3 separate regions of the Mus musculus genome follow, and all the other regions are reported to be linked to region 2. The links are microRNA targets in miRTarBase. Many come from high-throughput screens and were not tested one by one. Region 2 holds a microRNA gene; each other region holds the end of a gene's coding sequence.

Region 1 (4,211 bases), not on the chromosome of region 2:
TCAGGGTAATTACGAAGCCAGAACCCAGCAGTCCCCATTTCCTGGGGAGGTGGGGAGGCTGGGGGGCCTCTGGGGTCTGCGGTTCCCACATTCTTATATTCCTGTACCTTGTTCAGACCACCAACTGGCAGGCCTTGCTGGCCCGCACCGTCCAGCCTCCCTTCGTGCCTACTCTCTGTGGCCCTGCAGACCTTCGTTACTTCGAGGGAGAGTTCACCAGCCTGCCTCCAACCCTGACCCCACCAGTCTCCCAGAGCTCCCTCACTGCTCGCCAACAGGCTGCCTTCCGGGACTTTGACTTCGTGTCTGAGCAGTTCCTGGAGTCCTGAGGGTCTCCTGGCACTTCAGCCAGACTGCAGGAAGCCTCCACGTAACCATGTGCCTGGGCCGAAGTATTTAATGAGTGTGTGGGAGTCCAGGCAGTGGCCGTCCGTGGGGCTGCCGTTGCAGGCTTTTCCTTCGTGTCCCTGCTGTGTCTATAACTCTGTCCTTCTATTTCTCGGTAGACCCCAGACCAGGAAAGAGTCCACGGCAGCATGGGTGGCTTTTCTTTTTAATACTTGACTTTATATAGAGCATTAAATTAATAAAACTGTACACTCGAGGTAGCCAGGCCAGGGGTTGTGTAGTGTCTAGGTTCTCTTTTAACACCCCTCCCCCAACTTATTTCCTTTTCTTCTATGTCTTCCTTTAGGGGTGGCAGGGGGGGTTCTGTCTACTTCTCTCCTGAGGGCTGGAAGCCCTAGGAAGACGTAAAGGCCTTAGGCTGAGTGGGCTGATCCCTAGCTGGCACAGCCTCTGGCTTTTAGGCACAACAGCAGCCTTCTCTCCAGCAACCCTAGACAACCTGGCTGCTGCCTTCTTCCTCTTCCTCAGCCGAGAGAGTCTCCCAGGGCCCAGAGGGCCAACCACAGAAAAAGTGGGCCAGGTTTCGAGTCGGCCCTCGGTCAAAGGGGTTGCTGGTGCGCTGGCGGAGGTAGGCGATTCGGTGTGAAGATATGAACTCCCAGGTAGTCGTGTTCCTGGCTACCAGGTAGAGGTGGGAGGCCAGGAGCAGGGCAACCACTAACGCGAAGAAGGAGAGCAGCAGGAAGGTGGTGAACAGGAGCCCAGTGGACCGGAGCCACAGCCCCCAGGGCTGGAAGAACTGAAGGCCAGACCTAGAGGATGGAGAGCTAGGGCTGGGCACTGCAGGGTCCCAGTGACTCCTGTTCCCTGAGTACCTGTGTGCATGCTGTCTGTGCTCCCCCAGGTACCTACCATGCCAGGCACAGGCCCCACAGCAGAACTACCAGCTGCAGTGCCAGGTAGGCCACAAAGAGCGGGTGGTTGCGTTCACCCACACAGTTCTCCATCCAGGGACAGTGGTGATCATAGCGCCGAACACAGCGGCGGCAATCACGACAGTGCCGGGCACGCAGGGGCTGCTGTGGGTACAGAGCGCAGTTTAGGCTTAGTGCTGCCTCCCCCGTGAGTCCTCCTTTGGGGAGAATGCTCAAGGCCATAGTCAGGTCCTAAATTTGGGAGGCAGGGTTAAGGATGGCCTGACTGCCCCCACAAGAGTATGTGTGTATCACCTACCAGCACCAGACAGTGTCTGCAGCGCCGGAGTGGGACGGCCTGAGGAACCATGGCTGCCTGTTCCTCCTTGGGCTCGCCCTGAAAACGAAACAAAGATTATGAGATTGGGGGTTCTCCTACCTTGGGAGGCAGACGATGCTGGGGCCATCTCTCTAGGTGCCACCGGTCCCCATTGTGCAGGACTTGGGGCCCATCTCATGTAGAGGGGACGCATGCACATGGCAGCATACTAGACGTCTGGTGACCTTTGTAAGACAGTTGTCCCCACATGGGTCTTGGGTGATGTCATCATTGTAGGAGCAAAAACACAGGGGTAGGCAAGAGGCTTCATCAAGATGCCCCCACACTGAGTGCAGCTCAGGGCTCAGCATTGAGGTCTCACTCCCCTGTTGGCCTTCGAGGTCCCTGCTTGCTTACCTGAGGCTGGGGCTGAGTAGTCACATAGCCGGGGTCCATGAGTGACACAGCCAGATAAAGCAGCAGGGAGCTTAGCACCAGGAGCAGGAATGTGAGGGGCAGGAGCAGCTCCCCTTGCTCTTCCCATTGGCGTAGCTCTGGGGAGGCCAGAGGACAGTGAGAACCATAGCAAAAGGGAAGGGCAGGAGGCGGTGGGGGTAGAAAGAAAGTAGCTGGAGGTGATATGGAGGCTAGACCTGAGGGAGGCAGGAGGAAGGGGGCTCCCCAGGGGAAGAGTCAGCCCTGGAAGAGGGTGGAGCCAGCCAGGAGCTCCAGCTAGGAAGGTGCCAGCCAGCCTGTTTAAGCCCATGGCAGTGAAGGAGGATTATGGAGAGGAGGGAGGGCTAAGAAGTGATGGACGTGGTGACACCAGACAGCTGAGCGTAGGCAACTCTGGTACCCTTGGGTGAAAGAGAGCCAAGGAGGTTTTGAAGGTGGCTGACTCCTGGTGTGGAAGCCTGAGGACAAAGGGCAAAAGCGATGGAGGAGGGCTACAGAGGAAGCCTCTGGTGGGCTCTGTTCCTTCTGGAAGGGAAACCTAGGAGGGGGCAGGAAGGGGGTGAAGGGAATGATGGGGAAAGGAGATGCTACCAGGCGAAGGTGGGAAACCTGCTCCTCGCTATAGTGGCGTCCCTTGGGGTAGTTAGTCGGCTCATAGGATTTGGGGAGTGGACCGGAAAGCCAAGTCCTTAAGTCTAGCGGATTTCTTAATCTTATTTAGGGAGGGGTTGGGAGGCAATTTCTGGGAAGGACAGGTAGAGCCCAGGGATGGGAGAGATGGGGCCTCTAGTTGGTCCTCTGATGGGCTCTGGTGGTCTTTGGATGGATGGACATCTATCGATGACAGAAAATTACTGGGATTAATTAGGGTCCAACTTGGGAATCAGGCGGAGAGAGGATGATCCCCGGACCGACATAGGAGAAAGACGCTTGAGGAACTGGTGGGAGATAGAAATGGAGATTTCAATGTGTCTGAGGATTAGGGGGACCCCGGTATACCCACGCGTGATCGGGTGGGCTCGGGGTGGCGCGGTGTCCGGCTCACCGGTGTCGTGCAGGAAGAGCACCAGAGTGATTCCCCAGGTCAGCACGGTGTGCCCAGTCCGCACCAGCATCCCAGAGTTAAGCGGCGGCCAAAGAGCCATGGCCTTGGCCCCCGCCCGAGCCCACCCGGAAGAAGCGCGCAGAAGGTGGGGCCGCGGGGCAGCGGGGCTGCAGCAACGCGGGGATTGGTGGCTCTGCATTAGAGGCGGGGCACGGGCGGCTCAGGGAGGCTGTCTATTGGGTGCCACCGGCGGCCCCTCAGGCCAACAGGTGCCCGAGGAGGCTGAAGGCGGGGCCCGCGCGCGCACAGCCTACAACTCCCTAACTCCGCCTCCTGTGGGCCAGGTAACTTTGCAAAACCCGGGAGGCGGAAGCCTCCGAAGACAACCCCACCCCCGCATGCGCATGCGTGCCCATCTTTGATCCCCGGAGGCCACGCGGAGCTTGCTCCCAAGGGGCGATGGGCCGGGCTTGCAGGAGGGCACGCCTTGATGACACACTTTCCTCTTATTCGTTTTCTGATTTTGCAAACGGATGATGGGAAAAAGGAGGGTTCTGGTGCGGAGTCTGGACACGCATGGCCCAGCTTGGAGTCAGAGAAATAATTGTCCGGCCTATGACTCTCGAGGCAAGTTACTGAGCTTCTTTAGGCTACTTTCTGCCTCTTCAATGGGGTTGGTAATAGTACCCGCGTCTTAGACAGGTATTTGTCTCCCCTGCTACCACCACGGCCCAACCAGACTGACTTTCTCTCCTTGTGTTCCTTGAACCTCCCCCATTCAGCTGACTTCCACCTGATGACCCTCTTCTAGCCCAAAGCCCAGTGTGCATGCTCTTGGGATTTGTTTTGGTCAAATAGACATCCCTTTTTCTGAAGAACTGACTTCCTATGGCCAGGGTGGTTATGGAAGGATTGGTTGTCCATCGTGTGTGCGCGCGCACGCACCCGCGCGAGTGTGTATTGGGGGACGGGGGGACGGGGGGCGGTTAGGGCCAATCATACTATTCCATATGAGATTAAACAGAGGCTGGGGATTAACACAATTGGTAGACTGTCTAGCAAGCACTAAAGGCTGGGTTATCGCCCCAGCATGGTATATATGATATGGTGGTACATGCCTGAAATCTCA
Region 2 (4,242 bases):
AGAGAATGAAACAGTAACAGAAACTGGAGTCAGGGAAACGGTCTTTCCAGCGGAGCTATGCTAACCCTGCTCCACTGAAGGAAGTCAAAATCTGCATTGAAACAGGACATTCTTGGAACTCTTAAGAAATTACAGGCCTCATTTTTGTGGGCTGAAATGTTTGGATAGCTTGATAAGGAGATTATATCATTCCCTTATAGGGCTGCTTACTTAGGGCTGCTTTTATTGTGCAGCTCTCGCAGATGACAAATATAACTTTGAAAATAGGAAAGAAAGTGACAGCTGTAGGCCTGGATGTGCAAAACTAGGAGAGCAAAGTCACAGGGATGCATGGCCCAGGGATGCTGAGATCTCTGCCTTCTCACGTAGCCCTTTCTAATCGTGCCTAGCTGCAACAGGAGGAGCGGGCCCCAGTGATGGAGGAGGCCACCCAGACCACTGAATGCTCCACATTCCTTGTCAAAAATCTTTCGCTCAGCTCAGACTTGGCTATTTTCATTTTTTAAAGTCCAAATAAACACCAAACACCGACGTATATAACTTAAAAGTCTCCATCTTCATACTTGTAATTTTTATTCCTATAGAAAGTAACTTCCATTGTGCTTTTAAATATGAGGTTGATTATTTCCACATCCTGGCATTCTCCAAAGATTTATGATTTAGGAAATAAAATAAGTGTTATTTAATACACGGTAATGGCCAGTGCCATTTCAAAATTACTCAAAGTATCCTTTAACTACAAACCGACTACTACTGTTTGTTGTTTCCAAATCTAATGCTGCAAAGTCCACATTCTTTATATTACCCCTTTCCCAGAAGGATAAAATCTCAAGTGTGCCTTATTTTATGAATTTAAGGTGCATATAAGACAGTCAAGGCTTTTGAGAGCAGAGTCAGAAACGTTTTTAAGGGTATTTTTTATGATTTATGGAAAAATTATTTGATACATTATGCTGGATATCCCTGTTAACCCCCAGTTCCTTCGTGTTCTGACTGGGACACTGTGTCACCCTGAACGGGGTACATTCCTGCCCTGGAAGAATAACTCATCATGAGCGCTCTGGTAGTGTCTGCTGCAGTTCCTGTAAAGCATTTAAAGTTGGGTAGGACTATGCAAATAGCCTTATGGACAGTTTATACTTCCTGTTTATACTTCACGTTTTGTGATGTATCATTCAGCATTCTGTTGGGTGGTCATGGGAGTTTCCTCTAAGGCAAAAAGCCCTGTTAATTCCTCACGAGTTTCATAAAGGCAAAACAGATCATTTTTTGCATGGGATATAGTTTCTGTGAGTCCAGATTGTTTACATGCAAGACATTTAACTTTATTCATATTTTCATGACACAGTTTTGCCTATGACTCTTTCTTTTAAAGAAAGTATAGTGTCACATCTAGTACAAATACCATAGAATTCAGAAAATTTGGAAACTGTGAACTCTTAGCCTTAAGATTAAATCTTATATTTTAAAAATGAAAGGCCTGTGGGCAAGGCAGTTTGCTTGAGATTGTTATTTCAATCATTACAAAATAGTTTGGGGTAGCCTCAGATTATAATTTTAAAACTTGATTAGAATATAAGAAAAAGTTAAATGTGAAACATTGAAAGGTAAAATATGTTAATAAACAAGGTCAAAATAGAATAATTTTCTAAATTTACCTGTCTCTGCATGTTATCCTTATTGTTGTTTTTTTTTTTTAAATGCTCATATACAAAGCCAGCCCTGACCACTTCTCCAGTTCATGTCAGAACAGAAACTTTGATATTTCCTCAGAAATTAGGGCAAAATATGTCATGCAGGGCTATCTTTGCTTTTTTGAAATTATCAACGGGTTTGAAAAATCTTGGGTTGAGAGCTTACGTGACTGGAAACATAGATCCCAAGTAAGCAAATCAGATTTCTATATTTTATCCCTGTGACTGCACTAGAAAAGCTTTCTTAGCTAAACAGCAACATGGTAGCTAGTCTGTGTGTGCTATAGCACTCAGAAATATTGACGGTTCAATATTCTTGTTTATCCCAAGAAGAGAAACTGTTATTTGAATATGAGTGAAAAATCTACTAGGGATATTTTAAAATATCTTTTACCCAGGCCAGACTGGCAGTTTGTTAACTTGAAATACTTGATCCTTTAGAATATATTGTTACTTGTTTATTCTGTCTCTTCTCTCCATACTTCCCCTCTCTCCCCTCCCCCCCCCCCCACTTAAAAGTTACAGTACAAATAAACAATCATTTATAGACAAGACCCAGCAGAATAATTTCCTCTTCGACAAACATCCAACTGAAGCCAAATGGTTTTGTCGAATTGGTTTTCACGTCAGTGTCAGGAGGCAGCAAAGGTGTGTGCAGTGAATGTCGAGAGTGTGGTGGAGGCAGTAGGACCATGGCAGACACAGGAGCATTTTCAGAAATGGGCTTTATTAGGCTTCATAGGCACCACTCACTTTACTTCGGGTAGGTTTTAATATGCGAATCAAAAAAAATCAAAGGATTACATACGAGTTTTTCTTTTAATAAGCCAACAGTTTCAAACCCCAGGCCCCCCAACCCCCTCACTGTGGTTGTAGCTCTTGGTGTAGATGCTATGTTGTGAGGGCAGCTTTCTTTCAATGGCTGGTGGTCATTCAGGCTGGGTTGTCATGTGACTGCCTGTCTGTGCCTGCTGTACAGGTGAGCGGATGTTCTGCACAGCAAGTGTAGACAGGCAGACACATGACAACTCTGTCCAGCCAGGCCCTTGGGTCCTTCAGGTTTCCTTTGCTCAGGGACAGATACAATCAGCCTGTTTTCCAGATTTGGTGATTTAGGGGGGAAGGACAGGGGGATAAAGGGAAAGGAGAGAAACACACAATAGAATTAAACATTAAAACATTATGGAACTAAAAAGAAGTTAGACGTTTGGCTTTATTCAGAAGTACACTCATACATTTGATCCAAATGTTGCTAACAAGGATAATTGTCAAAAACAGAAAATTCACATGATTTTAAGGAAAAAAAAATAACAACATAAACTTTTAAAATCCAGTTCCTGTTGTTACTGGCCCTCATGCAGTCAGAATTCAAAGTAATCAAACCATATGTTTTTTTCTTTTCACAAGACCTCTGCATCTCTTAATAGTGAAATTAAAGTCTATGTTTATACATGTTTTTCAGAGTAGGTAAGTGCCATAGCCTTGCCCATGAAAAAATATATTGTTATCTACATGGTAACAGCAGCCATTCTCAAAATATTAATGAGCCTAAAGTGTCTGGCAATCCACCTAACAGATTTTGGATATATATATCTCTCCAAGCAACAGAAATGTATTTAAATTTTTCTTTTCTTTTTATAATATCCATATGAAAACCAAAGAGTTCATAAGCTTCTATCCCCCTTGATTAACAAGCAGGGTGAGACCATGAATCAAAGTCATGATCTAGAATGTTCTTTCCCACACTAGTGCTCTGAATGTGTTTTTGATGTTGTTAATACAATATCATTACAGAGTAGGACCTTAAACACAGAAAAGGAAAGTTCACTTCATATCCAAAATGACAATCTGAATTAATTGTGTTAAGTACACAGAAGCAAACTGCAATCCTGCTGAGTCAGGAATTCTGCTATTTTTAACATACTTAGTCAATTTGCATATGCAGAGATATTTAACAACTTCACTGTCATTTTAAACACAAAAACAGCCAAAGAGTTGAAAGTCTAAAAATTGGAATTTCTTTAAAAACAAAATACATTATTATCCAAGAGGTATACATTAGAGATTATCTTTAAAGAAAACAAATACTTCCTTATTTACCTTTAATTGGAAAACCTAAAAAGAAAAAAAAATGCAGGCAGAAGTTTTATGAACAATAAAATCTTTTTTGAGAATGAGAAAAAGAACAGTTTGCTGCACATTTGAACTTTTGTGCAGTGCCTAGAGATGGTATCCTTTTAACCGAGTTGATAAGTGCAACTATATCTGGACTTCTTTAAGTTCAAGAAGATAAACGTGTGCTTCTGTCCAACACTTCAGAGCACAAGAGCTTGGCTGCTATTCAAGTAGTTACAAAGTCAAGTATACAAAAATGGAATACCTTGAAATACTATTTCCTTTGTTGTTTCATTCAGTACAACAGAAAAGCATAATAGAGTGATTCACTTACGAAGAATATATTAGCAGCCATTAAAAGTTACTATAATTCTGTATTGCTTTCCCCTCTCCCTTAAGTAATCTGATCCAGTTTACTCTGCTCAAGTAAAGG
Region 3 (4,242 bases), not on the chromosome of region 2:
GTATTCCATTAGTCCTTTTCCCCCTTCATGACCTTCTTTCTAGACTCATGCCCTACACGCATACACATAGGATTTTAAATCTAGGTTTTAGGAGCCAGGCTTTAAGTTGATGAGTAAGGATTCTAAAACCATTTTTGGCATGTACACTGAGCAGGAAGGGAGCGTGAACAGTTAGAGTAAACAAGAAATGTTAAGAGTGTCATGTGATTGTGATATATCAGGGCCTACTTTTTTTTCTTTCCAGGCTGAATTGGAAGCCAAGAAAGCAAAAATGAAGGGGACCCTGATCGACAATCAGTTCAAATAATCAAGATCTTTCTGGGTTCAGACTGGAGGCAGCAGTTAGATGAGGAAGAGTAGCTTCAAGATGTGTTTTCGTTTCTGTTTCTCCCAGAAGGGTTTTCTGACCATCCTATTGGTTTTCTGACACTTTTTCTTTTCTTCCATTGAAGTCCTTGACTCCATTTCACTTGCTTTCTAGGAGGTAGATTGTTTGTAAAATCTCTGTATATATGTTTTCTGTCTTTCTTGTCTTTGAGATCAGGTCTTGTTACATACCAGAGTATGGCCTTGAACTTTGTGAGCCTCCTCTCCTGTCTTAGTCTCTCTCTCTCTCTCTCTCTCTCTCTCTCTCTCTCTCTGCTGAAGTTCCAGGACCACACCACCACACCTGGCTTCTGTAGCAGTCCTCTTTTCTTTTGACGTATACTTCTTTTGCAATGTAGCTAGTACTAGTAAGCATTTGACTTTCTCTAGTGTCTGACATAGATGTCTTTTCTTCTTCAAAGTTATTGCAGTTTTTAAAGGTTTTTTTTGTTGTTTTTTTTTTTAAATATGGTATGAGAGGAAGGTGACCAAAATTAAGTTTAAAATACAGCCAGGTAGATCCTTTTAAGAAACACTGTCTCTGATCTTTGAACTGTTCTTAGAATTGACTATGGTCTATGGTTTGAATCTTTCTCCTATCAGTAGAGATCAGTTAGAAACACCAAACCTGCAGAAATACTTCCTTACTCAAAATCTTAGAATTCTAGGTGAACCATGCTATGTCAGACTTCAGAATAAAAGAAGGAAAAGCCATGTGGCTGGGGGTGTAGCTCAGTAGTGGAATGCATGCTAGGCATGTGTGAGGACAGCCCCAGCACCAAAACAAAAAACAAACAAACAGGAAAGCCAGATCACAGATGCAGGGCTAGGATGGCTCAGGTCGGATTTAAATATGGCCTTGCTAAGTAACCCAAAGGAGTTAGTCAGTCAGCTGGGAGAATACTCTATGAGTACACAGAAGGGGGCATAGTGAGAGGAGCTTATCTGTTGTTGGGCATCTTGTTTTATGTTTGCTCTTTGCTGAAGAGCGTCTGAAATGTGTCATTCTCCTTCAATTATGTCAGCATCCATGTGATTCTTCCATATAGTTCTCTGTTTGCCTGTCTTGCAAGGCCCAAGGAGACACTGAATGTGTTGTCTTCCTCGTGCTATCTATGATGGATTGCACTTTTTAAATACTCAAGGCTTGTTGGTGAGGTGTTGCCAGGAAATAGTTTTCTTCGCCTTTTTTCTGATTTCTGTTTCTGCGGGGGAAAGCCACTTAGAGGAGAGGTACAGTTGAGCTAGCAATGACTGGACTGATGTGGGTTAGCGATCCTGGGAATTGGAAGAATGGGGCTATGTTACCACCTTCCCAGTTATTCTGTAGACAGCAGGGTCTTCCTATAGCTAAGTCTTCACCTCATTTTCTGTCCTAGTTGTGAGACAGAATTAAAATTAACATTTGTGAATGGTCAAATATGTCCAGGCAATGACCTCTACCTTTCCGCCACTTTATCCCCAAATTCTTATGTGTACAGCTTGGATATACACAGACCACCATAGAAATTCAGGCTTCTATTCTCTGGCCACAGCCTGTAGCTGTTTCTAGTCTCACAAGCTCCCATCCTTTTAGACCTTTTTAGGTGTGACTTTCGATTTGAGGGGTGATTATTTTGCTAATAATAATGAAACATAATTGTCGTAACAGTAACATTAATACTCATTAGTCTCCATTGAGTACTTGGTTGGAGAAAGCACTTTAGAGGTATGAGCTCACGCTTAGCACCTCCTAGGAGATAAGTTAACTGTTGCCATCACTGTTTTACAAAGCACTCGGAAACTCGGAATTTTCCTTTCCCAAGATCCACTAGCCTTTGGTAAAGCCAGAAGACTGACTTGAAAACTCAAGCTCTTTCCTATGCTGAACTGCTGCTTCTATGGAATTTTGTATCATTCGATTAGAACATAATTTCATTTTGAAAAAAAAAAAAAAAACCACTGAATTGCAATGTAAAAATATTAAGCTAGAGAACTCCCTAAAGCAATTCTGTAGTTATGCTTGTACATATTTTATGAAATAACTCGCTCTAACCATTTGAATATCTGACACAAGTTACACATTTTACTGCTTCTAACAATAATGAAATATTACGTCATTAGTAGCAAGTAAGTACATACTTCTCATTATATTTTACTTTCTACCAGAAGTTATTAGAACAAGATGTACTTTCTCTATTCTTTATTAACTTCCAGTGATTTTTTTTTAGCAAATGTGTTTTAATATTAATAAAAAGAGCCATATTGACATTTGGGAAAGTCATAAGTCTGCAAGTGATCAGCTGTGAGAAAATTATGAAAATGTTATAAAATATTCTTACTCTAATAGTTGGTGACATTTGGCATTGTAACTATCACTTAAGAAAAATTAAAAGGCTTTTTAAAAGCTAACCTGTTTTGTTGGGGGTGCTGACATGTATGAATAGTTCTGAGTGTCATACCAAGCAAAACTCTCTTCAAAATGAAATAAAATAAATAACAGAATGGAATGAACTAAACTAGCTTGTTTTGATCATTTTAAGATTCATATTGCTGTGAACCATATTTCCTTAGTCTCCTGATTTGTGTGTTTCTTATAGGTATCAACTGACTTTCATTTCAATTCCTAATGACAGATGATGTTGAACATACTACTTTTATTACAGTTTTTTTTAAAGGTTATTATCTTAGGCATATTTTTGTTTTGAGGTGGGGTCCCGTGTAGCTACTGGCTCTTAATTTTCATTTTAGTTTTTTGAAATGGAATCTCACAGTGCCCAGGCTGACTTCAGATTCTCTGCCTGCCTGAGTTTGACGGTGAATTCCAGATCTTCTGTCTCTACCTCCTGAATGCTGGGATTCCATACTTAGTGGGTTTTAGTTTTAATGGGGTGTTTTTAGGATCTTTTAAGTATTTTATGTGAATGAGCATTTTGCCTGCATATATGTATGTGTGTTGCACATGTGCCTGGTGCCTACAAAGGTCAGAAGAAGGCATTGAGATCCCTGGAATTGGAGCTATGGGTGGGTACTGGGAATGGAAAGCAAATGTGCTTTTAACACTAAACAATCTCTCTAGCTCCTATCTTTAGTTTTTGGAAACAGGAAAGTATTTTCTTTCTTTTTTTAAAAAAAAAAAAGATTTATTTATTTATTATATGTAAGGACACATAATAATAAAGACACACCAGAAGAGAGCATCAGATCTCATTATGGATGGTTGTGAGCCACCATATGGTTGCTGGGGATTGAACTCAGGACCTCCAGAAGAGCAGTCAGTGCTCTTAACCACTGAGCCATCTCTCCAGCTCCAGAAGGTATTTTCAATGCACCCTAGACCTAATGACTGTGGGATTTTTAGAGGGTTTTTTGTTTGTTTTTGGGTTTTTTTTCTGCTAGCAAAAATTGAATGTAGTATCTAGTATCTGCTGGTCAAGCTCTACCACTGAGCTATATTCCCCAGCAATGACTTTGAACCCTCCTGCCTGCTGCTACTATAGACTTGGGCTACTGTCCAGTTTCTCTATTATTATTATTATTGTTATTTGTGTGAGATGGGGTCTCACTATGGAGCTCTGGTTGTCCTGAAACTTACTATGTAGACTAGAATGGCCTCAAACTCAGAGACCCACCAGCCTCCTAGGATTAAAGCCATGTGCCACCATGCCTGACCCTCGAACCCATTTTTAATTACTCAGTTCAGTAGTATTCATTTGCATCCTTGTGACACACATCTGTAGAACTTTCCATCTTCTAAATCTGAAACCATGCATACATTGACCACTCCTTTCTTTGTGTCTCTGAATGCCTGGTAACTGCTGCTGTTCTTTCTGCTTTTATGAGTTTGTCTCCTTTAGATAATGAATGTGAATGGAAGCAGTATAGCACTTTTCTTTT

The links. Region 2 holds the annotated microRNA mmu-miR-214-3p (ACAGCAGGCACAGACAGGCAGU, at 2,648-2,669, opposite strand). A microRNA usually pairs through its seed, bases 2 to 8, with sites in the 3' UTR of a target mRNA and lowers its output. Matches are read on the target gene's strand: a 7mer-m8 pairs with bases 2 to 8, a 7mer-A1 pairs with bases 2 to 7 and ends in A, and an 8mer does both.
Region 1: the mRNA of Pkn3 is a reported target of mmu-miR-214-3p. Seed matches in the 3' UTR shown: 7mer-m8 at 467-473.
Region 3: miRTarBase lists C330007P06Rik as a target of mmu-miR-214-3p. Seed matches in the 3' UTR shown: 7mer-A1 at 640-646.

What each region holds. Positions count from the first base shown.
Region 1 is chr2:30,090,407-30,094,617 of GRCm38, forward strand. Pkn3 (protein kinase N3) reads left to right here. Exons shown (of 22, transcript NM_153805.2): 21 at 1-5; 22 at 117-613. The coding sequence ends at 329. It overlaps Zdhhc12 (zinc finger, DHHC domain containing 12), which reads right to left and starts at 3,229. Exons shown (of 5, transcript NM_001037762.1): 1 at 3,083-3,229; 2 at 1,999-2,135; 3 at 1,582-1,659; 4 at 1,261-1,427; 5 at 538-1,160. The coding sequence starts at 3,182. The coding sequence ends at 839.
Region 2 is chr1:162,221,865-162,226,106 of GRCm38, reverse strand. It overlaps Mir214 (microRNA 214), which reads right to left and starts at 2,739; the gene lies at 2,630-2,739. All of the region lies in intron 14 of Dnm3 (dynamin 3), which reads left to right. It overlaps Dnm3os (dynamin 3, opposite strand), which reads right to left. Exons shown (of 1, transcript NR_002870.2): 1 at 557-4,242.
Region 3 is chrX:36,847,165-36,851,406 of GRCm38, reverse strand. It overlaps C330007P06Rik (RIKEN cDNA C330007P06 gene), which reads left to right. Exons shown (of 7, transcript NM_029951.1): 7 at 245-2,864. The coding sequence ends at 307. Among named protein-coding and RNA genes, the nearest start is that of C330007P06Rik, 15 kb to the left of the region's middle.